Linked DNA regions of Drosophila melanogaster. Each later gene encodes a partner of the first gene's protein in a complex. Each region holds a gene or a part of one and is shown in the gene's direction. Other genes may lie near its edges.

Region 1 (16,550 bases):
AGAACATAATTTTTAAGTTATAGTACAAGATTTCTTACCACTTTGAGGCGTGGCCACATCAATGCAGCCATTTAGGCTAGTTGTCATATGCTCCAGTTGCTGTGTAAAGTCATTAAAATTGTCCGTAATTTCACTAAAGCCATCAAGATCTGGAATATCCTCCAAGTCATCCAAAGGCGCCACATCATTGTTGTTCACGGACATCATGGAGACAACGCTCTGCATGTCCTCGTCTCTGGAATCGAAACTTAGTAGTGAGGCTCCATTCTAAGTAGATAATTAAAGGGCAGTCGACTTACGTAGCCTTTCCTTCTCGCAAAAATACACAGCTAATCGTGAGCTCCAAACTGGCTGCAGTAATCTTCTTCGAGACTGGCTTTAGGCTCAAGGTAAAGCTCTGCTGAGTGGATTCTATGCTGGCATACTTCCTCATATTAATGCTGGCATTGGCCAGCACACGTTTCTTGCCCATTGGAGTGACCTAATGGAAGGTAACACCAATTACTGGCAACTCTATGCATCCATGACATTATTTAACCCACATCTTCGATGACAAACGTCCAGTCCTTGTCCTCCAGCTCGTGTGTCCGAGGATCCTTAAACAGGGTGACGGATATGGTGTGATTGTCGGGCACTGGCCAGGATATATTGCCCACCAAGGGGTTCATCATGTCCGGCTCCCATGGCAAAGGAGCACTGGCCACTCGTCTAGATCTTCTGGTCCAAACGATAGAGAGGTTCGACGGCCGCCTGAAATTGGCCATCACATGATTGTTAACCATTTCATGCCAAATTGGTTTCTCAAAGTTCTTTCAACTCTGATCATGTATTTTATATACAAGACCATGAATAACAATTTCTGAACACCGGATGCGGCGTCATTATATGCATATGTGGGTTCTTCAGTTGATAAATATATGCGATGATTGGTTTATTAAACAAAAGTCTGTACAAAACATTTCATGTCAACAGGAAAAGTTGGGGTCATTTGCAAATACAAAGATATAGATAGCAAATGGAGTACGACTATATTATAAATTCGTAGTCATGGAATTCAGTAGCCAATAGCCTCATCAATATTATACTATTTTCAATATTTTGCTTAATTTATTTGCATGACTAACTCCTCTCGGCAATTGAATTAAACTATATAATTAGTTGCTCAATGATATTCTCCGAAATATGTACTTATTTAGATAAAGGTAAATTAAAGGTGCAGAGTAATAAAGGTCAAGTAACTAGTCATATCAATATTTTATCGTATTTATGAAACAATCATTGTATATGAAGGGAAAATAAATCTTCAACTATAAGCGTTTGTTTAGCTTGTTCTTTGAAAATGATAAGAAATATTATAACTTCAACAAATGATACTGCAGTAGGGTCTACACATTTTTTGCGCATAAATATATATACGTATATATTCATTAATAAAAATAGACGCGAATGCAAGATAAGGCAAGTAAATATAAACATTAATAAGAAGATATTCTTTTGAAGAAACACAAAAATTACATGGAAACGGAAAAAAATATATTGATTTCAATGATACACAAAAAGGAATCTAAAAACGAGATATCTTTCCGCCAGAAACGTGCTATTAACCCCTCAAGTTGAAAGGCACTTAAGACCGCCACCGACCCGCCCCGCCCACTTTAGCCGACTCCCGGTGAACTAATCCACTTTCATGTGGGGCACTTACCACTTGGCGGTGGTTTCCAGATGCAGATCGTGGTACGATGCGGTGAACTGGAATTTGGCGGCTCGCTTGAAATTGCGCTGCAATCGCTTCCATACGCTGGCCATCTTAGCGGGTGTGGATCGTAGGGCTCTTTAATTTGGATATCTTTGGGGGTGTTGGGGTTTGTATAAAAATTAGACCCGTTTGGATCGTCGTTGCTTTGCTTTTTCAGTAATCTATTGTGTCATTTTTACCAGCTAACTTCTGCAGGCGATCTGGATGCGGAATGAAAAACAATATAGACGCCTGGTTATATGCTATAAATTTCTGGGTCAGTTTACAAGGTTCATTCATAAGGGAACCAAAAAAAAAAGGCAGACCCTCTTAAAATCGAAAGTTAGAGTGTGCAAGGCGGAAAACACTATTGTAAATTTATTTTTGAATTTTGTTGCTTTGTTGTCTGCAAAAACACTCAAAAAACACACGCACACACACGCGCGCACAGTTCTTGTGTTGTGTTGTATTTGTTTTTCTTTTTCGCTGTTTTGTGACCTTTAGTTGTCACTTTGCCTTTGTCTTTCTTGAATTTCTTATAAATACTCGAGATTTACAGCTTATTGCTAGTTTTGTTTTTATCTATTATTGTTCCTGCGGGCGTGTGTTTGTGTGTTTGCGTCTCACTGGCAAATTTTTAAGCGAAATTTGTATACATAGATGATGCCTAGACGTACATACAAATACATAAATAGCACCATTATGACGTCACTTTTGTTTTGGTCTCCAATTTCGTTTCAAGGTCCTTCGATTTGGGGACACTACGCCGAACATTTGCGCGTTTATTACGAGCACTCGCTGCCGTTTAGCTTTTATCACATCACAGCGAATAATTTAATTCACACCGATTTACACTTCGATCCGATTTTTTTTTACTGTCGCGAGCAGATTGAGTAGAGGTGGACAAACTGCAATAGCTCCAGACTATCGATAAGCCAAACATATGCGCTTGTTGTTTTAGGCGGTGAGGTAATATCGATTGTTTTTGTTGAAAAGGTTTGTTAGTTCTTCCAGCTATAAAGCAACTTTAAAGCACTCATGTATTTGTTTTAAAAACATCACAAACAGCAGCAATAGATCAACACAATACCTTTAGTCATAGCATCCGAAAGGTTCGAAACCCCGCTTGCACTTATCATATACTCGACTCTTTCGACATAATTAGAAATAACGAAAATATAACCGCTTTTAGTTCGAAAACCGAACAGGCTTCTTTCCCGTTTCAATAAAATCGCTCAATTTGATTTTGTTTTAAACGCAATTCGATAAATTTTATTTATAATTAAATCATGGATTCGTTAACATTAATTACAATTATTTAAAAATTAGGCGTGGCTGCTGTCGTTTTTTTTTCTTTCGTTTTTCGATTTGTATGATCAAGAGAATGTCGTTTAATTGAATGTGAAATTTGCGATTTTGTTTTTTTCTGCCGTTTATGGGTCTGCATATGTGCCATGCAAGTGTGTGGGTGCGCATATGAGTACGAGTCTTTGAGTGCAGCTGCGTGTGTGTCTGTATCAGCGGTTCACTTCGGCGTGGCAGTGGCTATAGTTATATATATATATATTTCTTTTACCGTTTACGGTCGAAATCCTGGCTTCGCGACTATTCAAATTTATTTAATTCAAGTTAAAAAGTACAAACTGAATGAATGAACTGGCTATCATGGCAGAGAGTTAGTTATCAGAGATACAAAACGGGCGTATCACACAAAAAGCGTTCGAACAAAGTCATTAACACATGTCATATTATGATAGGTGCATGAAACACGAAGATATCACAAACAATTTGCTATCAATAATTTAAAAGATAATCACAATTGGTTCTGAACCAAGCAACTGCAATCATCGATCCTACAACCGAGAATTTGTTGGAAATGCTCCACTCCTACGCTCTCCACCATCCCTCCTATACCCAAGCTATATCCTGCCAACGACCACGCCCTCATGAATCCGTCCAATGCAACACAGTTCTCCACAGTCGTCTAGGTCTTCTGTTTGCCCTGCTTACAGAACTCCTTGTATGCCCGCTCGGTTTCCTCGTCCATTTCCGCGTCGATTTCTAGGTCGGCACCATCCCCATCAAAGTCATCATCACCATCATTATCCCCGCCGGCCAGAAAATCGGTCTCCTCGGCAGTCAATTCGCGGCCATCAGGTCCGTAGAAGACGGGCTCATCGCTCAGGCGCGGCGGCTCCTTCACTGTATCTTCATCGTCTCCCAGAGCGTTCGACACCTTCCTGCCCCAGTTGTTCTGCTGCAGGGCAATTACACTTGCCGCCATGGGGTACTTGCCCGGCGACTTCAGCTCGATCGCCTGCAGGGCGGTGATGATCTCCTGTATGTCCTTGGGGCAATCGGCTGTCAGATCATATCCAGCCAGCTTGAGGGTCTGGCACAGGCAGCGAACATTTTCGTTGCTCTCGCTGGCCAGCAGCTTACTCAGCGAATATACAATATTCACAGCGATCAACTGGATGCGCGAGTCGTCGTCGCCGCGCAACTGCATGTACAGCTCGGCCAGAAAGAGGGCAGTCTCGCGAACCTTCTGCTGCTCGTTGGAGCGCATGTACTTGGTCACTTCCTCCTGGTGGTAGTCAAGCTTGCACTTGAGCAGCGTGTGGAACAGCGAGTCCGGCTTCGAGTTGAGCATGTGCAGCAGGTTGTACAGCTTGGCGCCCATGTACCGGAAGTTCGGCTGCTCGATCGACTTCTCGAAGATGTCCTCCATGGCGATGGAGAGCACGAATTGGTTGTTCTCCATGCCATCGAAAATGGTCAGGAAGCGTGATGCAATCGAATCAAATTGGCCCGGATTCTGGATGGAGATCATTAATATGTCTGGTTAGTAGGAAATTTAGGTTTAAAACTTAAGATTAAGTTTGACTAGACTGAAATGTTTCAGCTGATTTTTTTTTTTACTTTCGAGCATAAATATATTGATTTTAAATATATTGTTATATTTAAAGAAAATATTAAGCTGACACCTATTAAAATTGATTAAATAATCATAAAACACTAAAAATATAAATCAAAGGAAGCCCATAATTGCCCTGATAGCTTATCAATCGAAATTCTCACCTGGTTAAGGCAATGTATGACTGTATCAAGATACTCCAGTGCTATGGTGGCCATGTCCGGCTGCGAAGAGTTCGAGGACGACGAGGAGGCCGCCGCAGTCGAAGTGGATGGCTGCGGTTGTTGATTCTGGTTCTGAATATACTGCTGCTGCTGTTGGTTGTGCTGCTGGTGGTGCGGCTGCTGCGGCTGGTTGTGCTGTGTTTGCTGTACGATTTGTTGGAATGAGTTATTCAAGTGGAAGTGCCGTTGAAACTTGGCGTGTTGGTTGTGTGGCTGATGCTGCTGCTGGTGTTGTTGGTGGTGGTGTGTGTTTTGGTGTACCTGCTGCTGCTGATAGTAGTTGCCGGCTGAGCCCTGCTGGCTATTCAGGTGCAGGCGATTCTGCACGGAATTCGTTAGCTTCTGCATATCGTTGTTGAACTTCTGCTGATGATTGTGATGATGGTTGTAGTGCGGCTGCTGGTGGTGCTGCTGATGGTGATGCTTAAAACCATTCACATAGCGCGGCTGCTGTTGGCCATAAGGAGCTCCTCCACCGGCTCCACCAGCCTGCTGGTATTGCTGATGTCGCGACTGCTGCTGCGGGGGAGCAGCTCCTCGAGGGATGAAAATTGTGGCCGTGGCCGACAGATTGGACGCATCGGACAGAGTCTGCGCCTGGGGTTGCATGGCCTGCACAGGAAAATTGCCAACCACCTGACCGTACGCCTGCGCTCCGGCGTACTCCCCAAAGAGATGCGCCTGCTGATCCAGTCCCGGCATGGCCACTCCGCCTGCTCCGCCGACATTCGGCCGGCGCAGCTGCTCATACTGATCGTCGGGCTGGAAGGGGGCGCGGCATGACATTGCGTTGGACTCGAAAACTGCAAATCACCAATCAGAGTAAAGTAATGGATGAGGATTAGTTTATCTAAATAAAGACAAATCACATTCGCCAGGGCATTCCCCAGCGTGGTTACGTTTGCAAGCCTCGGGACGCCGATTCAGACAGAGTTGCGGACATTTTGTTTTCCTACCACTGGTTTGTCGCCTTTCTTTTTTTATCTCTTTATTTTCCGCAGCCGGGTCAGTCGGTGTTTCCCATTGAAATGGACACGACCTATCCGACTCTACCGTGTGGTGGTGGGGAAATTGCAATGCCTACCTTAAATTTGTTCAAGTTGAATGTGTACGTCGCCGATTTTCGTTTTTGTTGCTTCGTTTTGCTGCGTCGTCACTTTCTCGTCTGCGTCTCTGATGCGCTGCTCCGAATTTCGTGTCTGATTTTGGGTGGGATTGCACGTTTTACTGGCCGTAAAAAATGTTAAATTGGACGGTGCGGGGGCGGGACGGCCGGTGACCGCTGAAAGGGAATGTAAAATGCTACGCACCTTTAATTTACACTGCGGCAATTTGTTAAAATTTATTATTTCGCCTTTTCACCGTCGGTGTGGTCGCAAGTGGCTAGTGAAAACTTACCTGGCAGTGAATACCTTTGTTGTCTGTGATATATCGATACGGCTCAATATGGTCACACTTTAAATAAAGTAATAAGTGCTAAACCGTTTTTTAGAAAATAAGCATTAGATAAACTACTTCATTTCGTACAAGAAAATCATGGTATTATTATAATCTTAGATCTAGTTGGAAAAGAGATATATATTTGGCATATATATATAAGGTGGCATATATATAACAAATTAATAACTAATAACAAATAATATATATTAAAATATAATAAGAAATTCTTAATATATAAATAAGAATTTATTATTATATATTATTTGTTGTCGGTTCAAAAATTAATTTAATCGTAATGTAAATTGTATTTCTTATTAAGAATATACAAATTCTCAATATCTTAAATCACGCAATATAATATCGAATTACAATTCAGATTACGATTAAAATCATTTTTGAACCACTTGACAACCCTATATATAATTCGATATTATTTCCCTCGCGTAAAACGGTCACACAGTCGAATAAATTCCGTTTTGTTATTTTTTGAGTACTACTCAATGAGTAGCATAGATTAGTACATTATTTATATTTTTTCAAGCCTTTAGTGTTTCGCTTAGAATGTGCTAGAACAATGTGAACAAGCCGGAGCAACTATATATTAAGGATAAAGTGCAATACTTACACATACAACAAAATACGAATAAGGACGACGATTTGTTAAAAATAAACGGCGAGCGTAAGTAAATATGCGTGCAGGTGAAAGCTTATGTACCTGTAGTGCTTTCGTTTTCTGTGCTCTACAAGTCCATTTGTTTAATTCTTCCATTGGGCCTTGTGCCTCCCCGTCAATCACAAATCCAAGGCACTGTGTGTGTGACTGAAACAATTGCATGCGAGAGCACTTACACACAAACATAACAAGTTCATTCACACGGCAAACTCAGTGACGTATCTTCTCTCTGCCTTTACGCGCTTATCTAACTGGTGATTAATAATTCGATCCGATTTTGGTTCTACGACATTGACGAGCGGAGGAGAACAAAAATGCAACCGGAATTGCCTTTTTCGATGGTTGCACCGCCAGCTCACGTATTCCTAGCTATTTAGAGGCGATCTCGTTCGCGTCCTTGTCGATTAGTTGTGAAATTACCGATGATCCAGTCGATCTCAGCTTGCAGATAAGGGATCTCATAGATCCATGGTATCGCATTTCTCTCCTCGAGAAGCCGTCTACGGTGCATTCAAATAAAGTGGGCCAAGCTTGGCGCCAAAAATTCCGCCATATGTATGTACACATATACATGCATACATATGTGCATTTGAAATGAACATTTTTTTGTTTTGATTTGTTTTTTTCGATTTTCTTGATTCTGTTCGCTAAGAGTTGCACCTGAGTTTTTATTGGTTGGTCCAACCAAATTTATGATTTGTGTGATTGCCCGACCAAGGAGAAGACAGGGATTCGGATTTGATTCAGCTTTATTATTAGAACACTCGATCTGGTTGCGTTAGTGTGAACGTGGAGAGCTTAGGAACAATAAAAGCTAGAAGGTTGATATTAAGAATACAGATTCTAGAGATACAGACGCAGCCCAAGTTTATTCACCCATGTTGCCACGCCTACCCTAACGCCCACAAACTGCTCAAAACTGTCACGGCCACACTTTTGAACCGTTTTAATTTTTATTTCTATTTATTTTGTTTTCGAATTTCTATGAGATAAAAATTTCCAGCAGAGTAACGGGTATCTAATAGCCGGAAAACTCGACTATAACATTTTCTTTTGTAATTAATGAAAATACCACAAAAAATAACCCAATGCCAATAAATTATTTCTAACATAGCTATAAAATTTAGTTACTATATAAATATTTACATATGTAGGTAACACGAATATGGATTTTGAAACTGGGGAGCACCAATACCAATACAAGGACATTTTGTCCGTGTTTGAGGATGCATTCGTCGACAACTTCGACTGCAAGGATGTCCAGGATATGCCGAAATCAATATTGTCCAAGGAGGAAATTGACCACATCATCATGTCTAAGGATGCAGTCAGCGGCACACTTCGCTTGTTTTGGACACTGCTCTCTAAACAGGAGGAAATGGTCCAGAAATTTGTGGAGGAAGTTCTCAGGATCAACTACAAATTCTTAATGTCGCCAATCAAGACTGAGCAACGGCAGCCCAGCATGATGACCAGGATGTACATCGAGCAGAGAGATCGTCTGTACAACGACAACCAAGTATTCGCCAAGTACAATGTGAGCCGCCTGCAACCGGTATGATAATCTCCCATTCGAAAAAAAAAACAATCAAAGAAGTCCAACGTACGAAACCGAAAAACAATTTTACTCTGTGGAATTGTTATCTAACCATACTACAATACTTTTTATATTTCAGTATCTGAAGCTAAGGCAGGCTCTTCTAGAACTTCGCCCAGCGAAAAATGTATTGATTGATGGCGTCTTGGGATCGGGAAAGACTTGGGTAGCCTTGGATGTGTGCCTATCGTACAAAGTGCAATGCAAGATGGACTTTAAGATCTTCTGGCTTAACTTGAAGAACTGCAATAGCCCGGAGACCGTGCTAGAGATGCTGCAGAAATTACTTTACCAGATCGATCCCAACTGGACAAGTCGTAGCGATCATAGCAGTAACATAAAGCTTCGAATCCACAGCATTCAGGCGGAACTGCGACGACTGCTCAAGAGCAAGCCATACGAGAATTGTCTCCTTGTTCTGCTTAATGTGCAAAATGCCAAGGCTTGGAATGCTTTCAACTTGAGCTGCAAGATATTGCTAACCACACGGTTCAAGCAGGTCACTGACTTTCTTTCGGCAGCTACCACAACTCATATTTCATTGGATCATCATTCGATGACGCTTACGCCGGATGAGGTTAAGTCTTTGCTTCTAAAGTACCTCGACTGTCGACCACAGGATTTGCCCCGGGAAGTTTTGACAACGAATCCCCGCAGACTAAGCATTATTGCTGAGAGCATTCGGGATGGTCTGGCGACCTGGGACAACTGGAAACAGTATGTGGATTATGAGTGTTCACACTGAATAAATACATAATTTTTTTTTGTAGTGTAAACTGTGATAAGCTGACGACCATCATTGAGAGCTCTCTAAACGTTCTGGAGCCCGCTGAATATAGAAAAATGTTTGATAGACTGTCAGTTTTCCCTCCATCAGCCCACATACCCACTATTGTAAGTGAGCACTGCACTTTACGGCATACATCTACTAATCGTTATCAACTTCCTGTTGAACAGCTCCTATCGTTGATATGGTTTGATGTTATCAAATCCGATGTAATGGTAGTGGTTAACAAACTTCATAAATATTCATTGGTGGAGAAGCAACCAAAAGAGTCAACCATAAGTATACCCAGCATATACTTGGAGTTGAAAGTCAAGCTTGAAAACGAATATGCACTTCATCGGAGTATCGTAGATCACTATAAGTATGTTCCTAGCCCTTTTCTTGATATCTTGAATTTTTGCTAAAATGTATTAACCTTAAGCCACGAGTAAGCCGTATACTGAGTGATTTTAACCTTTTTGTTAGTATCCCAAAAACATTCGATTCCGACGACTTGATACCGCCTTACCTGGACCAATACTTCTATAGCCACATCGGTCATCATCTAAAAAACATTGAGCACCCCGAACGGATGACTCTCTTTCGCATGGTCTTTTTAGATTTCCGTTTTCTAGAACAAAAGATTCGGCACGATTCAACTGCTTGGAATGCCAGTGGATCGATCTTGAACACGCTACAGCAGCTGAAGTTCTACAAGCCATATATTTGCGGTACGTAAATTTCTGAATCATTTGAAACAAAAAAAAAATGTAATCTTTTTTTCATGCAGACAATGACCCAAAGTATGAGCGCTTAGTCAACGCTATTCTGGATTTTTTGCCAAAGATTGAGGAAAATCTTATTTGTTCAAAGTATACGGACCTGCTTAGGATTGCCCTGATGGCCGAGGATGAGGCGATTTTTGAAGAAGCCCATAAACAAGTGCAGCGCTTTGACGATCGGGTTTGGTTTACTAACCAGTAAGTACTTACCAGCTATTGACTAATCAAACAAACAGAGCTGTCATTTTTAGTAATAATGAAATGTATATATATTAAAGTTACTTTATTATTATTATTTCACTTTTTCCTTTTATCAGCGGTCGTTTCCACCAGCACCGTCAGATTATAAACCTGGGTGATAATGAGGGGCGCCATGCTGTCTACCTTCACAACGACTTTTGCTTGATAGCGCTGGCCAGCGGGCAGATCCTGCTAACCGATGTTTCGCTGGAGGGAGAGGACACCTATTTGCTAAGGGACGAGAGCGACAGCAGTGACATTCTGCGTATGGCGGTATTTAACCAACAGAAGCACTTGATCACCTTGCACTGCAACGGCAGCGTAAAACTTTGGTCCCTGTGGCCCGATTGTCCAGGAAGGCGCCACAGTGGTGGTAGCAAGCAGCAGCTAGTCAATAGCGTGGTTAAACGCTTTATAGGGAGCTATGCAAATCTGAAAATTGTTGCTTTCTATTTAAATGAAGACGCCGGATTGCCAGAGGCCAACATCCAACTGCATGTGGCATTCATCAATGGTGATGTGAGTATTTTGAATTGGGACGAACAAGATCAGGAGTTCAAACTGTCGCACGTGCCTGTTTTGAAAACGATGCAGTCGGGAATACGGTGTTTCGTTCAGGTTTTAAAGCGATATTACGTGGTCTGCACCTCAAATTGCACACTTACTGTATGGGATTTGACCAACGGTTCCAGCAATACGCTGGAACTACATGTTTTTAATGTCGAAAACGACACGCCGTTGGCCTTAGATGTATTTGACGAAAGGAGTAAGACCGCCACCGTGTTGCTGATTTTTAAGTACAGCGTATGGCGGCTCAATTTTTTGCCAGGTCTTTCGGTTAGTTTGCAATCGGAGGCAGTGCAACTGCCAGAAGGAAGTTTCATCACCTGCGGAAAGCGTTCGACTGACGGACGTTACCTACTGCTGGGCACGTCCGAGGGACTTATTGTGTATGATCTGAAAATCTCTGATCCCGTGCTACGCAGCAATGTCAGCGAACATATAGAGTGTGTGGATATATACGAGCTGTTTGATCCTGTCTATAAGTACATTGTTTTGTGCGGCGCTAAGGGAAAACAGGTGGTCCATGTGCACACATTGCGCTCTGTAAGCGGCTCGAATTCACATCAAAACAGGGAAATCGCCTGGGTTCACAGTGCAGATGAGATAAGCGTGATGACAAAGGCTTGCTTGGAGCCTAATGTCTATCTGCGTTCTCTGATGGACATGACCAGAGAGCGGACGCAACTTCTGGCTGTGGACTCCAAGGAGCGCATTCACCTAATTAAACCGGCCATTTCTAGAATTTCCGAATGGTCCACAATCACACCCACTCATGCTGCCAGTAACTGTAAGATAAATGCCATATCCGCCTTTAACGACGAACAGATTTTCGTTGGCTATGTGGACGGAGTGATAATAGATGTTATTCATGATACAGCGCTACCTCAGCAGTTTATAGAGGAGCCCATTGATTACCTCAAACAGGTCAGTCCCAACATTCTGGTGGCGTCGGCACACAGTGCCCAGAAGACTGTGATATTCCAGCTGGAAAAGATAGATCCGCTGCAACCCAATGACCAGTGGCCATTGATGATGGATGTTAGTACCAAGTACGCGTCCTTGCAGGAAGGACAGTATATCATTTTGTTTTCCGACCACGGAGTCTGTGTGAGTGTTCTTAATTGAAGTTTATGCGAGTAAAAGTGCAGTATTTGATTTCAATATTTACCAACAGCATCTGGATATAGCTAACCCATCTGCATTCGTGAAACCAAAGGATTCGGAGGAATACATTGTCGGCTTTGATCTAAAGAACAGTCTTCTCTTTCTGGCCTACGAAAACAACATCATCGATGTGGGTTTGCTAAACATAATATCATTAAACAATTATCAATTATTTCCAACGACAGGTATTCCGTTTAATATTCAGCTGTAACCAACTAAGGTACGAACAGATTTGCGAAGAAGAGATCGCCCAGAAGGCCAAGATCAGCTATTTGGTAGCCACGGATGATGGTACCATGTTGGCTATGGGTTTCGAAAATGGCACTTTAGAGGTATACATACGTCTTACAAATTCGTTTCATAATTATTTCCTGCTAATTATACATTTCCCAACAGCTCTTTGCCGTTGAAAACAGAAAAGTTCAACTGATCTACAGCATTGAAGAGGTCCACGAGCACTGCATCCGGCAATTGCTATTCTCGCCATGTAAGTTGCTCCTGATCAGCTGCGCGGAGCAGCTGTGCTTCTGGAATGTGACGCACATGCGCAACAATCAATTGGAGCGCGAGCAAAAACGGCGGCGCAGTCGACGCCATAAGCAGCACAGTGTTACACAAGAGGATGCTGTGGATGCGGCGCCCATTGCAGCGGACATCGATGTAGATGTGACATTCGTTGCCGACGAGTTTCATCCGGTGAACCGAGGGACTGCGGAACTGTGGCGGAATAAGCGCGGCAATGCCATCCGTCCGGAACTCCTGGCCTGCGTTAAATTTGTGGGAAATGAAGCTCGTCAGTTCTTCACAGACGCCCACTTCTCCCACTTTTATGCCATAGATGACGAGGGTGTCTACTACCATCTGCAGTTGCTGGAGTTAAGCAGACTTCAACCTCCACCTGACCCAGTTACGTTGGATATTGCCAATCAGTATGAAGACTTAAAAAATCTTCGAATTCTCGACAGCCCACTTATGCAGGATTCGGATAGCGAGGGTGCTGATGTAGTTGGCAACCTGGTTCTGGAGAAGAACGGCGGAGTGGCGAGGGCGACACCAATTCTGGAGGAGGCCAGTTCATGACGCCAGAAGTGCGTCCCTAGGCGGCGCACGAAACAGGAAAGTCCAAACTACAACATGGCATTTATAGGATTACTGCTCTACTACCTGATGGTTTTGCTCTTCTACCTCCTGGGTCCGGATTTGTCCTAGGCAAACATTAGTTGTTGGCGCTTACATTTGCGAATGTATGCAGCTAACCAAGTATGATATCTCAGAGGGCGGTGGGTGCGTTGCCCTGCCTTTGTTTGTCAACGCGAGTAACCGCCACCAAATAAACGACATTTCACGAAAAACACAGAACGCGGTTTTGTTGTCTGCTCTTTGTGCTGTCCGTATGTATGTATGCATGCATGTCTGTGTGGGTGGTTGTGCTGTGCGTTTGTTTTGATTTCTGCCAGGCACGCCAGATCAAGTGTTGCAAAAGCATTGGTCCCGGGACAGTGCTGCTAAGTTCGTGTATGGATATCAGTGTTGCGGTCCAATAAATAGGTACGTATCTGGATTGTGGCTCGTCTACTTCTAAGCTGACTTAAATTAATAAAAAGGCTTTGGCCTCAATGTTTGCATTTTGGTTTTATTAAAAAGTTCAAGTCAAGTTTGGGCTATAATTTTTATAAGCTAAGATTTACACACATTGCCTTAATGAACACACGTACGAAATATATTAAGAAGCATTTAAAACAATGAATAAAAACCAATAGCTAACTTGTATCATCGGCAAGGTACCTTGTTTGTACCAGTTTTAGGTACTGAATTCCGTACCGAACTAAAGCCCTTTTCAACACTGGCAGATATGCGCTCTTTCTCGTCATTTCATTCCAATTTTCAAGCTGAAAAGAAAAGAACGTCGTGTGCGTGTTGATGGCGCGATAAGTGAAAAAAATAAAAACATTTTTCGTGTCTTTATGGAATACAATACGAGTGCGTTTTAAGTAAGTGCGTGGCGAAAGTGGCGAAGCAGAGAAAGAATGATGCGCAACTCGCTACGCGTGAGCTCACTGCAGCAACAAAAGCAATAAATAAAAAAAGTGACTACATGCATTCCGCGCACCCACACACTGGCGTAAAATTCATACATATTTAAGTGCATTTGTGCACGCTCGTCAATGGCAAAATCGCGAGCTTGCAACTGCCAGGAAATATTGTACGCAAATTTGTCTAAAAATGATCTCTAACCCATCGCACGCAGACAGACGCAGCGCGCTTATAGGGGCATCGAATGTATGACGGCATATGTGTATTTATTTTCCACACTCGCCCATCGGTGGCAGTGAGTGTTAGTGAGCGACGCGCGTGTGTGAGTGCGTCGAGTGCTGAACTCTTGAACTGCAGTACATGGCTTTAATTCGATTTTAGGGATGTGCGGCTTGACGGAGCGGGAAGCGATCGAATTAATGAGTAAATGATAAACAACTGGACGCTTTCCGAGGCTTCGAATCCCTTGTTTTTCTCTAACAAGTGGCTTGCGGCAGCCATATTGTTTTGCCTTTGCGTTTGCGGCGATGATCGCACTCGCACCCCCACACACACTCAGTCAGTCAGTCAGTCCAGTTTGTGTGTATACATATTTATTCAATTAAATATTTGCGTTTAATTAAAAAGGAGTGAAACTGCAAGAATTGATTTATTTAGGTAAACAAACAGTGAGATCAGTGCAAATTCAAAGAAAGAGAGGGAGTCTTTGTTTTTCTTTTTGGGTTTTCGTCACGCTAATTGAACACAAGCGATTAATTGAACAATCAGCTGTTCTAATGGAAAATACGCAAATCTGGAAAGGATCGCTGGAATTTTCCTGCTTGTGTGTCCGCTCTGACCCATTAGTATAGCATTAGTATTTCAATTTTTCGGCCAAAAACTTGTTTTCCCCCAACCCCAAGTCGTCATCCATTAAATGTTTCGTGAAAACTAGTCAGCAAAAAGCACAACAATAAAACCAGCAACAACTGCTGCCTGCGAGTGACAGAGAAAGCAAGAGATTACGAGAGAGAGTGAGAGAGAACGAGCGCGGCGAGAGAGCCATAGGCATTGGAATATGTATGGCTTGCGCGTGAGTGTGTGGGTGTGCTGTTCAGTTATCTGTGTTGGAATAAAAACAATGAAATTGCAAGGAGATTGCTGCCTGCATTTGAACCCTCTCCGATCCGCCCCATCCCCCATAACCCTTCACCACCCACTCAAAAAAAAAAAAAAAAAATGCAAACAAATATTTTAATGTACATGCATTAATGCCCGAAATGTCTTCAAACGAATTTTGTGTGCCCACAGGTTTAAGTGAAAAGTAGCAGTGCAAAATATATATACACATATCAAAACCCATTGGAATAGTGCAACCAAAAAATCATAAAACAGAACTAAAGCAACGAAAATCGAGGCAATTAAATCACTTCTGGATTCATTTCGGCCCGTTTTTACTAGCTAATTTAAAAATAGCTGCCGAAAGCATTCCGCAACCACTTCTGGTGACTGGCCCCACACCAATGCGAACAATACTCCACGGGATCCTCCGACTTCGAGTGGCTTACGCATGCCTTTGAATTTGCATCTTCGCACCCGCACAGCAGCCAGCAAAAGCCATCGCAGGAAACCCTATGGATGACCCATCAATCAAAAAACGGTGAGTTCAACTGCTCCACTGTCTCCATGCGCTACAATTTCCCCACTTTCCACTTTCCCACTGGTTAAATTGCTCGCATTGCGATAAGAATTTATCTTTTGTCCTCGACAGACTTAATAATTGTTATTTTCGTTCTTATTCGCAAGCAACAGTCGATTATACACATACTAATAAATATACCAAATATACATCATAGAGGCAGGTTTAATGCAAATTTCAAAGGCAGTGTCAACTGGTTGTGGGAATTGAATAATTTTAATGAAATCTCGAAGAAGAAGAAGATATTAGTCACACAAAAAGTTAAAGCTCTTATTATATCAAATCGGAAGAATTTTTACTCATAAAAGAAGCTTTCACACATTCTTGACCTAAGTGCTTATATTAACATATTAGGGCTACCCTTAAGAACTAGCAACTTATGTAAGATCGTTGCCTAAATAGTGTAGCAGCCTTTAAGAATCCTCGAAATTATATTAAAATAATAGGTATTTTACTACATTTTAAATAGTTCTTAAGCCAGTTACAGATGATTTAACTGTGCATTAGATCACCGATCAACTTTTGTAAGCAATTACTAATTCATTTGACCCGTGATTAGTCAGCAAACGTTGTTTGAAAATAGCCAATTGACGAGGTGAAACTTTGCGCCGTCTCACAGTTCTGAAACGCACTGTGTTTGCTGATTGTTTATACCAATAGTTCCCCCAAGCTTGGGGTTGTTTTTGTGCGGTTTCGACTGCCAAACGGATGACTTAATACATATATACGCTCACCA
Region 2 (13,831 bases), on another chromosome or scaffold:
GCCTATATCATCATAGTTTATCATATATATATAGTTTAAACCATATCACACTGCAAAAGATACAGAAGCAAACATATATTGCCTATTTATTTTGCAAACATCGATGATAAATATATGCAATCAACTAAGAGAGAATCGTGTACCTACATACAACGTACCTAGCACCATAGAAACCAAACTTATCACAGAGCTTTACAGCAATCGCAATCAAAAAAAAAAAAAAAACAAACAAAAAAGTAATCAATATGAATAACCACGAATACGAAAGGAACGTTTATTTTTTGGCCAAGAACCTCGAGTGATCCCGCCTGCGCTTTATAGTGATGAATCCCACATAAATCTATGTATATTCTATACCCATCATTCAATTCATTCAATATATACACACTATGATCAAACGTAATAGATAGCTCCAAAAAAACACCCAAAACTACTACTAAGGTGAATATACACGAATCCAATCCAAGGTCCACCGATCCGAAATAGAACCAGAGCCAGTAATTACTGAAGCCGCTGTACCCGAAGGCAATCTCAAACTCAATCTCAGTCTCACATTTATAGTCAATTTGTATAGTTGGGCAGCTATATGCGTAAAAGTGTGGTAATTGGTAATGGTAAACTCTTGAAACTTTATACATATAGTGAAGACTCACCAGTGTCATAGATGTATTCATTACGTAAACGGCAATTAAAGCGATTATTATCATTATTGTTGTGCTATGTTTAGCGGAGTAGAAGTGAAACCCGAAAAAAAATATGAATTTATATATGTATACAAAACGCAGCAGCAGCAGCAGGACGAACTCTATCTAGGACACATTAAAAACCACTCTACTTTATATACACATACTCGAATGATATGAATAAAAGTATGAATTACACGAACGGGAACGGGACAATCAAAATTCAAGCGACACTAAAACTAATTCTATATCAACTATCAACTAACAAACAATTGCAATTTTAAGTTACGTTGTTGTCGTTCGTTGTGTTTGTTCGATTCGTTGGATCTGCGTTTGGTTAATGCCAGCTAATTTGATCCTGAAACTCCAGCATATCCTTGCCATGCACCTGAAATTGCTTTGCATTTTGTTCGGTCCGAATTTGTTGTTTATTTATTTCACCTTAGACAAGCATATCGATATGGTTTACTAGCGTTTAATCGTACGTATATATAATTAGATTTACTTAATTTTAATTAATGTTTACGCGACAAGACAGAAACCTAAACACAAGAAACAAAAAAAAAAATTTAAAAATGAAAAAATTAAAAACAAAATCTAAATCAAAGAAAAAGGGGAAAACCAAAAGCTCAAACTGGACTGAACATTTAAGAGTTATATTATGTACATTATTGAATTGCATTTGATTGTGTGAAGATCGTTTTAGTGCTAGTAACTGCGCCTAAAACAAAAGGGTATTATATTTGTATTCGAATTTGTATGTAATTCTGATCGTATGTACGTTATGTTATCGTAAGTGTACCATCCTAGATCCTCTAATGAATTGAATTGAAATGAAGCCAACTCTGTCTCTTGTGATTCTATTGTGATGCTATGGGAGTCAAGCAGCACTCAACTGTTTTTATGCCTCTTAAAGTTTAAAACAAAGCTAATCGTAGCAAAACCTAAAACTAAACTACCTATCTCTACACTAGTCTATGCAATGCTAATTGGCAGCCCCAACAATTGAAAACAATCATGCACAATAAATGTTATGCAATTGAGAGAATCCAAAGGCCAAAGACCCACAACTTTTTCTTACACTACTCGAAGTAATTGTGTACAACTAAAGGAATTCTAGATTTTAAATGTGCTAAAACTGTTTATAGTCAAGTACTTAATTAAGAGTGTAATTATCAAATATTAATACGTACAAAGGTTGGGGCATTTGGCATAGTAATACTAATAATGTATAAACGTGGGATCCGATGATTTGATTGATGATAATGGAGCGGTGCAAATGCGTGTGACAATGTACGTATGTAACAAACAATTGAATTTAAATGTTTAATAAATGTGTGGAAATGAATAAATGCTCTGTGTGCTAAATTCCTCAATTACTCAATAACAGCCTCTACGTTAGCTTCTCGTCCAGGAATAGTGGATCCAAACTGCACTTTTGCCGCTGTTCCATGTAATCCAAAAACTGGTGGTCAAATAAACGCTGCCCCATGCTGCGTGCCACATCGTCGGATTCGTCGGTGTTTGCCTTCTCTATGAGCAGCTGTTGGCATTAGGATTTCCTTTTTTTTTAACTATTTTGGAAAGTTGATGCAGCCTTCTGCTCACCTCAATTTCCTTGGACAAAAATTCTTTGGTCGCATCGCTCATCTTCTTTTGCGGCTGGCCCATCAAAGCGTTTTCCAGAAACTTGTAGGCCTCACTGAAAGTACCACAATGCTAAATACAAATGTAGTTTATCAAAACCATTCCTACTTCAAGTCAATGCCGTTCAGTTCCGTTGGCGATGGCTTTGTCTCATTTTGGATTATGGAGTTCACAACGACGGCTGCTTCGAATTCGCAGAGTTCAGCGAGTTGCGAACTTTTCATGAGCTCCAGCCACTGGTTAATGTTGTTTAAGCTAACGGAGTCGCAGTTTTTCACCATTTCCTCGCCCTTGCCAATCATGTCGGCCACATACTCTAGAAAAGGGATTGGGGGACAATGTACTTTTATTGCATTATGCATGTTTTAAGAAAACTCACGGAGAATGCCATTCGAATTATTTTGATTTTGCTGCTTGGCTGCTTCGAGCAGGATTTGCTGTGAGTAGCCCAGTCTGTTTAGTTGCCTTTGCAGCTTAACTTTCACCTCTCTCGGAATCCTTGCAGGCTTTTCTGCGCCTTTTTGCGCGGAGTTTTTCGGTTCCGGCGTAAATTGTTGCTCCTCCTCCATTTCTTTTGTTTATGTTTACGGTTTGTTAGGCTGACCCCATATGGTATTTGGTATTTAGTATTAAATTGAATCATTTGATGCGGCAATGAAGGAATGGTGGAATAAGTGGAACATGGAGACGGTTCATGTCATGGATTTATCCCGGACGCGTTCTCTGGTTAAAATGGCGCACCCACAAGCAGCCACACCAATCCCAAAGTTTCATTTATTAGTTTAGTGGCGAGTTTGGCGGCGCGAAACGCTCGTTGGTCCTTTTGTTTCGAAAGAAATCCTATTCGAAGATCCCCGATCCTTGCTAGGATCATCTAGTGCAATATATAGACTAGTTAATTTACTTTTGGAAAAATAAGGACACCAGCAGGGCCGCCGATTTGTGCCCCTTTCTTGAAAGTCGCAAAACAAAAACAACGACGACAACAACAAAGCGGAGACAAAGAATCGACAAGTAGCGATAAACGAAATCATTCCCGGGAAAACCTTGGAGACGGGTGATTCACTGCCAATACCACTGCCAATTGGAGACTGATCACGGCAGCCATCCTTGGCGCGCCCAATAAGCGGAGTCACCGGAACGCGTGGAAGCCATATCCGGAATGCAGCCGCCGGAGCTCGAGATTGGAATGCCGAAGAGGCATCGCGAGCATATACGCAAGAATCTGAATATACTGGTTGAATGGACGAACTACGAGCGTCTGGCCATGGAGTGCGTGCAACAGGGCATCCTAACCGTTCAGATGCTAAGAAATACGCAGGATCTCAATGGCAAGCCATTCAACATGGACGAGAAGGATGTGCGTGTGGAGCAGCATCGTAGGCTCCTATTGAAGATCACCCAGCGTGGTCCCACCGCCTATAACCTGCTGATCAATGCACTGCGCAATATCAATTGTCTGGATGCGGCCGTTCTATTGGAATCCGTCGATGAGTCCGATTCAAGGCCACCCTTTATCTCGCTAAACGAACGGAGAACCAGCCGGAAGTCGGCCGATATTGTGGACACACCCTCACCCGAAGCCTCCGAAGGACCCTGCGTTAGCAAGGTAATGAAAATAAAATCATACGAAAGCTTTGATGGTGAAATTGCAGCTCAGGTCATTGACCCTGATTTCTACAAAAAACCGGTTTATGGCACAATTTATTTGCATTTTTTTTTTTAGGTTTGTTAATTGAGTTATTCCTATTGGAATGAGATTAGAAAAGGTATCTTTAAGAATTGTAAATGGACTCAATGATGAATACTACTTTGGTACATGTGCACAGTATTATTTGCTTCTCTTTCAGAAGTTAGTTCGTGTATGAGATTCTTGTTTTCCATTTTTTTTGGAAGCATGAATCACATCCATTCTACTTACCTATCCCAATTATTCTTTTAGTAGGATTTGTTTTTAACCAGAATCTTATCGCAATATTGCTGGCAGCTGTGTTTATATAGCACGAATGTTGATTACTTCTTTGTCTGCCACATTAACCGTGCAATGAAAATATAATATATATATTGAAAATCTTATCTTTATTGTAATTTGTTCTTTCTTTCTCTCTCCTACCAAAGCTCCGGAATGAGCCGCTGGGAGCACTCACCCCTTATGTGGGTGTCGTTGACGGTCCCGAGGTAAAAAAATCGAAAAAGATACATGGTGGGGATAGTGCCATATTGGGCACATATAAGATGCAATCACGTTTCAACCGAGGCGTTTTGCTAATGGTTAACATAATGGACTATCCGGATCAAAACCGTCGACGGATCGGAGCCGAAAAGGACAGCAAGTCGTTGATACACTTGTTTCAAGAACTGAATTTTACGATTTTCCCCTATGGGAACGTGAATCAGGATCAGTTCTTTAAACTTCTGACAATGGTGACCTCCTCGTCGTATGTGCAGAATACCGAGTGTTTCGTAATGGTACTGATGACACACGGCAACAGTGTGGAGGGAAAAGAGAAGGTGGAGTTTTGCGATGGATCTGTGGTCGATATGCAGAAGATCAAGGACCATTTCCAGACGGCCAAATGTCCTTATTTGGTGAACAAGCCGAAGGTGCTTATGTTTCCCTTTTGCCGCGGCGATGAATATGATTTGGGCCATCCAAAGAATCAAGGCAATCTCATGGAGCCAGTGTATACGGCGCAAGAGGAGAAGTGGCCTGACACCCAGACGGAGGGCATACCCAGCCCGAGCACCAATGTGCCAAGTCTTGCCGACACTCTGGTCTGCTATGCTAATACGCCGGGCTATGTTACCCACCGCGATCTCGACACGGGCAGCTGGTACATCCAGAAGTTTTGCCAAGTGATGGCCGATCATGCCCACGACACAGACCTTGAGGATATCCTAAAGAAGACGAGCGAAGCCGTGGGTAATAAGCGCACCAAGAAGGGTTCCATGCAGACAGGTGCCTATGATAATCTTGGCTTTAATAAGAAACTCTACTTCAATCCCGGGTTTTTCAACGAATAGTTGCCGCCACTGGACATTTTATCATTCCGGATGCATTTTTAACCGCATTTATGTTCTTATCGTCGCATTTAGTATGTCTTTTAGATTATGTGTTCTGTGCTCGCGTGCTATAAAATGTTTATATTGTAACAAATACTCATTCAAGTATTCTTCTAATACGTATTGCATACCTCATTTAAAGGTACGAAATTATGTAATTTATGTGATAACTGCCAGAAATCTACAAATATTATAATACAGAGTTCCAGTATATACACAGCCAGATTTTTGAAATCGAACATTTAGGCAAAATGTAAAGCAATTTTCCAGTCTGATTTTTGAGTGTGTACACTTACAAAATAAACGATGATATTTCACAACAAACCGCAGTTTGTATATAATTAAAATCTATTTACATTTCTAAAATTTCATTGGGACACTAATTATTATATAATATAATCTTAGGATCATACATTTTAACCTAATCATCCTGCTCATCCTCCTCCGCCAAGTGGGACAGTTGTAGTTTTCCCGCTGCACGGCTCTGTTCCGATTTGGTTTTGCATTTCTTTGGCTTATGCGGCTTTTGGCCAATTACATACTCAGGCATCACCAGCTTGGAACCTCTTAACTGCGGCTTATCCAGCTCCACATCATCCACCTCCTGCTGTTTGAGGCTCTTGAGCTTGCGGCTGAGTTTGCTGGTCCTCTTGAACTCGATCTTGCCATCTGTAGGTGGAGATTCGTTATCGACGCCCTCAGCCTCGCGCTGTGCATCCATTTGTCGCAGGAAGGACAAGGCGGCGGCGGAGTTGCTCTGTTCGGAAATGTCCACATCAGACAGGGAGTACTTCTTCCATTTGTGCGGGTTTACCTAGAGAGTAGGTCAAACGTTTAGGGTGGGGACAACTAATTGCAGAGGGATGGTCTGTCACCTGGTAATCTGGCGTTTTTCTTGGCTTCAAACAGCGTCCAATGGGGAGTTCGGGCTTCTTGAAAATGCTCTCCTTGCCGCGCATTCGTCGCAGTCTTCCATCCTCCGCATCGAGGCCAGTAACAATGCTGCGACCCTGGCGGTAGTTCATCACCTGTCCGGATTCGTTTCCGGATTTGTTTCCTCGATCGAGGGCATTGATGGAAAACGCCTTGGCCTTGCTCTGATCCAAGGCAGTTCCCCGCAACTCTTTGCTCGCATCGTCGAGACATGCGAAAAGAGCGTCTCGTTTGGCTGAAAATTCCTGCATTTTACTTAGTTAAACTGCACAAATGGCATTTGCTTAAATGCGTTGTGTTTGCAGAGGTAACTTTGTTTGCTGCAAATCAGCTGTTTTCACAGTTACCGTTTTGTATTTTCATCTAGTATTTTAGTAACGTGCAGTATTTTTAGACTATTAAGGCAGCTATTAAACCATTTCCTTTTCTATGGATTAGTCTATACTATGTGAGTTAACTGACATCATAGGGTTAAAATACTTTTTAAACGTAAATTAACAGATTTGAATTTATCCCATTCTATTTCAATATAGTAGCAGTATGATTGGTATTCTCTGCAAACTAAGATATCTTGGAATTTCGGCCCACGCAAACTCTGGTCAGACTGGTGCCGGTGTATAAACTTAGTGTGGAAGAAGTGTGCTCATTCGCGAATATAAATAAATTAAACAGCCAGGTGGATATTGAATAAAACTAACCCAAAGGCGTGACCATGTGTATAGTGTGCCTGTCTCAAAGGACGATTCATCGAACAGCTTCTATTGAAAGGCCTTTCAGACAGCTTAGTGGAACTTCTAACCCCATGTGGTTTTTGGTGGCAACTAAAGTCACTTGTGCCAGGGTCTTTTAAATAAATGTTAAAACTAGAAAAGCAGAAGTTTTAGATTGCCAGAAGAATATAAATATATTTGATTGCAATATTTTTATTTGTGCTTTTGTTAATTTTTGCAAATATCCCACTTATTACCACAAAAAGAGCACAAGAAATTGTATCCCTGGTTTCATTCAGTGTTGAATAACGGCCACACCCAGAGGACAGCTGTTCTTTATTGTGATAGCAATCCAAATAGGGAGAAAAAACATTTAATTCGCTGCTGGAAACTAAAATTAAACCCTTTGACAAGTAGTTTTAATTATTATTTTCAAATTTCATTTATAGTTTAATGCTTATAGTTTCCTGATTTCGTACTACCCCGTTAGAATGTCCCTGCAAACGGGCTTGGCTTTCATTTTCACCATATTAGCCTCTGTTAGTATCGTCGCAGCAATTATTTTGTTGGGTAAGCAGGCGCCCGCAGACGATCACGTTATAATGGAAACAATTTTCTACGATCCGAGCAACAAGTCATATTGAAATTTGTCTATTTTGCAGGCTGGTTCCTCATCTGGAAGGCGTTTCTATCGAAATTTCGTCTGGTTCGAGAGCTGTTGGGTCAGGAGGAGCCGGAGGATCAGCAACCACTTGCTTGGGATCATCAGAATCAACAGCCACACCACCACGGCAGAGCCAGGAAAGCTCGCCGAGACTAGGAAGCACATCTACACAGCCTCACCATGAACATCCGCTGCGCAAAACCGGAAGACCTAATGACCATGCAGCACTGCAATCTGCTGTGTCTACCCGAAAACTACCAGATGAAGTACTACTTTTACCACGGACTAACCTGGCCTCAGCTTAGCTACGTGGCCGTTGACGACAAGGGCGCCATTGTGGGCTATGTCCTGGCCAAGATGGAGGAGCCGGAGCCCAATGAGGAGAGCCGCCATGGGCACATCACCTCGCTAGCGGTCAAGCGTTCCTATCGGCGATTGGGCCTGGCCCAGAAGCTCATGAATCAGGCCTCCCAGGCCATGGTCGAGTGCTTCAATGCCCAGTACGTGTCCCTGCACGTGAGGAAGAGCAATCGGGCTGCCCTGAACCTCTACACCAACGCCCTCAAGTTCAAGATCATCGAGGTGGAGCCCAAGTACTATGCCGATGGCGAGGATGCATATGCCATGCGACGCGACCTCAGCGAGTTTGCCGATGAGGATCAGGCCAAGGCTGCGAAGCAGTCAGGCGAGGAGGAGGAGAAGGCGGTCCACAGATCCGGCGGACATGGCCACTCGCACAACCACAGCGGTCACGATGGCCATTGTTGCTGAACACTTTCGCTGCCGGCGCTTGCTGGCTTCGACGTTTTTTGCATTTTTGTGCATTAGGGTTTTGTAATTATTTAACAATAAAAAACGTAACTAAAATTAAAACAAAAGTAATGACAAAAAGATAATGTTTTTAACAATAAAGGGTTTGAAGGCCATTAAATCAGTAATAATAATACTATTTACGGTTTCTGTTTCTAATTGCCAATCTAAAATGCATAAATGCATTAAACACCTATTAAGACGAATTTTTTGATTTTATTTTGAGTAGAGTTTTAGAAGAGAGTGGTTTTCTAAACTCCCCAAATAATTTATAATATCTACCATTCTTTTGTGCTAGAGCTCTGGTTAACCCAAGTAATGCGAAAATTTATGCCAAATGTGGGTTAAAAAATGTGCGCTTTTTGTAATGTGAAAAGTTTGTTGGCCCGAAAAGTTGGCCAAGCGGAAAGATGTCTTTATGTGCGAAGTGTTGACTTTCGCGCCAACTTTTGGGTGCCATCAAGTTGTAGGTGTCGTGTTGGTGGAGAAACTTTTATGGCATATGAAAATAGCTAGCAACCGTTCCCACTAAACCGATTTTCCAGTAACGGAGCTTTCTAATTTCCCAGTTTCCCGCGGCGAGCTCCTTTTGCGCATGCTCAGTGGAACATCTGCGGCAACAGCTGTTCGCTAGCCACGTGGAGTACGGTACTTTTCCGGATGGCGCCAAAGAGAGAGAGCGAAAGTACCGCAATCACAGCTGAGCTGAGATGCTGGCTTTTCGCGTATTTCGCCGTTCTTAAACTCAGTTCGTGAGGCGCTGGCTGAGCAAAAACAACATGTATGCGGATGTTTTATCAGTTTTCGGCTAGCTACGTAAAACGTGCGCAAAACCCAAATCGGAACTTCAGCTATTGTAGTGAAAAGTGCTAATAAAACCCTAACGGTAAAACCACTCTTTACAACGGGAGAAGAGGAAGAACGAAGGAAGTAGTGCTACTGCTACTGATGGGTTATAAAAAACTAACGGGAAATGACTGGCATTTATTATGATTGTGGAAAAAACGCCCTGCCAAATCAATAAAAAACGCGGAAACAACAAACAATAAACAATTCGTTAGTGAAAAGCGCCGTTAAACATATGGAACTGTGAATGTGTTGAGGGAAAGTGCTTAAAGTTCCAACGGTAAACATACTTTATTGATGCGAAAGTTAAAGCCAATTGATAACCCCAATCGAATGAGAGCCTGATTTGTATTATATTTGCGGGCTATAACGCCTTGCTAAATCAATAAAAGCCAGGGCACTTCAGCAAACCCTTCATTCGGGCAATCCTCAGAACCCTCAAAACAGTCACGGACATAAATGTAAGCGCTTTTGGTGTTGAAAAGCCAAAAAGCCGGCCAGTGGTTCAAAAAGCCGGAGAATGGAAGCCAAGCCTCTGCTCTTCTCGTGTTGTTATTGTCGAAACGGGGTCAAAAGTTCGTGTCTCACTCGCTAATTCAACCACACAAAAAAGCGCACACACACTCGCACACTCGTACACCACCCAGATAACGGTTCCTCAAGTGCAAGCAAAGACACTGCGTCGCCCGTCTGGCAGAAAAGCATGAAAAAAGCATAAGAAAAGCATAGTAAAGCAGAAGAAAAGCAGACAAAAGCATTAGCCAAGTGCCAAGTAACTCAAAACTGCAGGCCTACCAAAGCCAGGGGAAAACCCACATACATACATACATAAATATGTATTTGGAAAACAACACCAAATCGCAGACAACAAACTAGGCCAAATTCCGCGGGGAAGCGGGAGAAAGCTCAATTGAAAAGTGCTCTGAAAATGAAGAGAAGTAAAATATAATAAAAATAAAACAATAGAAGTTCTCTGGCCATTTGTCAATGACTGGGCCACTCGCGTGACTGGCGATCCTCGGGGAAAGTGGAATAACTGCAGCTGCAACAGACTCCAGACTACGGCAAAAGGACTATTTCGAAAAATATTGTGGTAAGTCAACAGGATTTAGGCGGGCACTTTGCAGTAAAAGGTACCAGCTACATTACACCAATTATTGCAAAGTTTCCATCAAATTATATTGAAAAAAAATATATAACGTGTTAGGCTAGATAACATAAAGTTTAAATGAAAACAGATAGATAATGCGGTACTGTATCACATTTATCATATTCTATACATTTATGCAAGTAACTCACAAAAAATCCATTCGCAGTAATTTGCCAAGAATGCCAGAAGTAACGCCAACAATTTCTCGGGTTATTTAAATATGACTGTAATTTGAGCAAATGTCTCTTGAAAACTTATTTTCCCTTGATATGAAAATACACAGACTTCAGCGCACATGCTATCTGTACGAACTTTTCCTCACTTGTCAGCGGGAAGGCATATTTATTTATTTAAGTTTGCAGTGCCTTTTCCGCCTTCGCCGAAAACTTCAAAAGGCAACTCCACTATGTGTGGATGGTGTAATGACATTTTGTCAGCAGGATTATGCCAAATGCTGGCCTCCATCCCAACATCCCCTCATCGCCCTGCTGATGATGAGCCCCAAACATAACCATCGTCGTCGTCGTCATCATTGTCTTTGTCACTGTCAACGCGTCTTGCATCTGTCAGTGGCAGCAGAAGCATCCGATCCCCAAACGCCAGTCCCCCAATCTACCCCGCCCACCAAGAAAACCATCCAAAAACCCATCCCATTTCGAAATTCTTGTTCTTTCGTAGGGGTTCGCATCATTTTTAAGCAAACATTTGCCGTAGCTTCAGTTCTGGTCCTTCCTTCTCTTTGGCACTACTGGCTGTTTGTTCGTGTTGTTTCTGCTGCTCCCGTCAAGTGTTTACTACTTTTTGTGTGCTGTTCTGTGTGTTTTTGTTGCTGCCGACTGGCGGTACGTGTTGGCTCACAAGATGTCAACAACTTTGCTTGCCACTCGCTGAAAAACGCCAGCTTTCTTGCAGAGCAGCGCAGGGTACCGCATCTGCTTTTGTTTTTTTTAATGCTGCTTTTTCTAGCCACGTTGATGAAATTAGCAATTTGATTAATTTCCTCCTTTCTATTTTTTTTTCCTTTCCTTAATTTTTAGAACATGAATACAAATAAGAAAAGTATTGTCTTGAAGAAATTCCGATATACATAGGCAAATCAACATTCTCTAAAACATATAATCTTATTTATTTGTTCTATCCATAAGCTTGTTTCATAGCCAGACCACAATTTCAAAGAACTTTTGCATGATGCTTGTAGGATAGTTTAAGTAATAAGTTAATAAGACTTGAATGCCTATTGATCCGCTGTAGAGCAATGTATCTGTGTTTTGTTGCATAGGCGACAGGCGCAGCTGTCAAAATGCTTAGCAATGGCCACGTGGCATCCGTTGGCGTTTCCGCTTGCCATTTCCGTTTCCGCTGGCCGGCTCTCTGGTCATCTCTCTCTCTGACGCAGGCAAGCAAAGGTGATTGATGGCCGCACTCGCACTACTAATTAAGGTTATTTAGCGAGTGCTCCTGGCCGTGGCCATTTTTCATTCCCGACGCGTTCTCGTTTTGTGCGGCTGTGGTCGTTCTACTCCAAGTGTTTATGGCTTCAATTCAATTAAACAACTGGGTCAGTTGTGGTCGCATTGGCACAAGGGCTTCCGCATCCGCATCCGGATCCGCATCCCCGTCGGGATGGCGGGAATCAACTTTCAGCGGCGTAATTAATTCTCCGACTGGGCCATCGGAGGACAAAGACGCATCATAAGTAAGGCGGCGGCAAAACAAGAAATAGAGCTGCCAGCAAATTGCATTTATAATTCATTTACTCGAAATTAAATATTTCTTTAAATGAGCCAACCCCTCGTAAAAGGCGACTCCAGTAAATGAATGGAATGGAAATGCCATTTAACCATCATTCTCACTGTGCATATTGTATATTTAAATATGTAAATCCTTCTTCAATGGCGACGATTGCAAGGACCGTTCTTTTAAATCCTTTAAATCGCAGCCCAATGCATTTATTGCTGTCAATAGTTTTCGGCTGGCTGGATTCAAAGGAATATCGTAGATACTCATTACACATTACATATTTTGCTCCATTTATAAAGTTTTCAAAATCAACTCCGCAATCGGATTCCCAGAATGCACGTGAGCTGCGCCCAAGGAACGATTGCCACAATCGAAAAGTTTTGCATACTGCGCAAACATTTTCTCAGAACTTATTTACAGAAACAAGGAACGAGGATGCTGTGCTGCCACAACATGAAAAGTTATTAACGAGTGCGAATATGTAAGTTCTTGAAACGCTGCTGCAAAGGACACGAACTGTAAAATCTGAATTTTTACTAAGGAAGGGGGCATGTTCATTAAAAGTTGACCCTTATGCCTTCAAGACGTATAAGGTTATTAGGTTTTGTGCTTTTGCAAAAAGAAAAGCGGAGCGGTAAATGGCTGAATGGTGTACCTTTTCAAGGCAATTGTTAAAGTTTTTGGGATTACTGACTAAATTCTTAAAAATACTAATTTGAAACAATAGTTTCATTTAAATTATATATGGATTGGCATTTTTTCTTATTATGTTTGTAGCTTGACTACTTTCGTATTAGTTTCAACTTCACAAGTTACCGCCAAGGAGTTTCTTTTTTGGGGTTCGACTGTCCGCATGCCCCATTGATTTTTCCAATCACTGTCCACTTTGTTTCAATTTATAAGGTTCTTTATCTGGACCGTAGGAGCCACAACTACACCCAATTCGCCATTCTTCCTTTGTTTATGCGATGGCATTTATTTATTTTCCGGTTCCGCCATGTTTTCCTGCATCCCCTGCGGATTTCTTGTTCCATAAAAGATGATTTTTATTGCGGCTCCATCAAGCGAGCGAAAAAAAAAACAACAAAAATCAAAAAAAAAAAAATCGAGCAGCTCGAGCAACACATAATTTTGCAGCAATGAATTGAAAGTTTAAGTTTAATATTTATCTGCCATCGATTTAATTGTCAGGCAAAATATGCCCCTGGGGGAGTCGAGTGCGAAACTTTCCTTGGGGCAGGCAAAAGTTTTTGGCCGGCCAAAGTTGATCAATGAAATTAAAAAGATTTATGATTTTTGGACGACCGAAAGTTGCCGATGAACGAATCCCCATACGAAGGCCCGAAAATCCCGGGTGCGAATCTCAGAAGCCCAGAATCTTTGCAAAACAATCAGCAGCAATGTCCTGCTGGGATGGAAAGTTTCTGCTGTCATCCCAGTTGGGTCCTTCGGATATTATTTTGAATTGCGCTCATTTCGGTTAATGGACGAACCCAGGTTGAGCAATAAAATGGGCGACCAAAATGAAACTTGTTATAATCATCAACGGGTCGAAGCACAAAGCGCATTACTTTCTATTACAATC

Evidence for each region.
Region 2: the proteins of Dark (region 1) and Dronc are in contact, whole or in part, in a cryo-EM structure (PDB 8Y6Q), measured with the Drosophila melanogaster proteins. Residues at the interface, in NP_725637.1 of Drosophila melanogaster: Phe23 (codon at 8,221), Asp25 (codon at 8,227), Asn26 (codon at 8,230), Phe27 (codon at 8,233), Asp28 (codon at 8,236), Cys29 (codon at 8,239), Lys30 (codon at 8,242), Asp31 (codon at 8,245), Val32 (codon at 8,248), Gln33 (codon at 8,251), Leu61 (codon at 8,335), Val80 (codon at 8,392), Leu81 (codon at 8,395), Ile83 (codon at 8,401), Asn84 (codon at 8,404), Tyr85 (codon at 8,407), Lys86 (codon at 8,410), Phe87 (codon at 8,413), Arg656 (codon at 10,639), Lys694 (codon at 10,753), Gln696 (codon at 10,759), Leu697 (codon at 10,762); in NP_524017.1 of Drosophila melanogaster: Val39 (codon at 3,607), Gln40 (codon at 3,610), Gln41 (codon at 3,613), Gly42 (codon at 3,616), Ile43 (codon at 3,619), Leu44 (codon at 3,622), Thr45 (codon at 3,625), Val46 (codon at 3,628), Gln47 (codon at 3,631), Met48 (codon at 3,634), Leu49 (codon at 3,637), Arg50 (codon at 3,640), Asn51 (codon at 3,643), Asp54 (codon at 3,652), Lys58 (codon at 3,664), Phe60 (codon at 3,670), Gln81 (codon at 3,733), Arg82 (codon at 3,736), Thr85 (codon at 3,745), Leu89 (codon at 3,757).

The regions. Positions count from the first base shown.
Region 1 is NT_033778.4:17,013,247-17,029,796, forward strand, and holds Dark (Death-associated APAF1-related killer), read left to right. Parts: upstream 1-6,780; 5' UTR 6,781-6,995; intron 6,996-8,143; 5' UTR 8,144-8,154; coding exon 8,155-8,544; intron 8,545-8,665; coding exon 8,666-9,303; intron 9,304-9,356; coding exon 9,357-9,480; intron 9,481-9,543; coding exon 9,544-9,734; intron 9,735-9,838; coding exon 9,839-10,083; coding exon of another isoform or gene 10,084-10,091; exon of another isoform or gene 10,092-10,142; coding exon 10,143-10,332; intron 10,333-10,405; exon of another isoform or gene 10,406-10,451; coding exon 10,452-12,045; intron 12,046-12,106; exon of another isoform or gene 12,107-12,112; coding exon 12,113-12,232; exon of another isoform or gene 12,233-12,287; coding exon 12,288-12,434; exon of another isoform or gene 12,435-12,498; coding exon 12,499-13,182; 3' UTR 13,183-13,457; downstream 13,458-16,550. Other genes in the region: Ehbp1 (Eps15 homology domain containing protein-binding protein 1), read right to left, coding at 39-235, 300-481, 543-750, 1,703-1,806; Paip1 (Poly(A) binding protein interacting protein 1), read right to left, coding at 3,720-4,553, 4,817-5,662; RhoGEF2 (Rho guanine nucleotide exchange factor 2), read left to right, coding at 15,750-15,775.
Region 2 is NT_037436.4:9,965,396-9,979,226, forward strand, and holds Dronc (death regulator Nedd2-like caspase), read left to right. Parts: upstream 1-3,083; 5' UTR 3,084-3,492; coding exon 3,493-3,939; intron 3,940-4,448; coding exon 4,449-5,354; 3' UTR 5,355-5,607; downstream 5,608-13,831. Other genes in the region: CG6685 (uncharacterized protein), read right to left, coding at 2,077-2,226, 2,292-2,385, 2,439-2,646, 2,710-2,899; CG6674 (uncharacterized protein), read right to left, coding at 5,815-6,207, 6,269-6,577; CG42455 (uncharacterized protein), read left to right, coding at 7,528-7,606, 7,699-7,856; vnc (variable nurse cells), read left to right, coding at 7,881-8,471. UniProt on the Drosophila melanogaster protein: Involved in the activation cascade of caspases responsible for apoptosis execution. Effector of steroid-mediated apoptosis during insect metamorphosis. Overexpression promotes programmed cell death.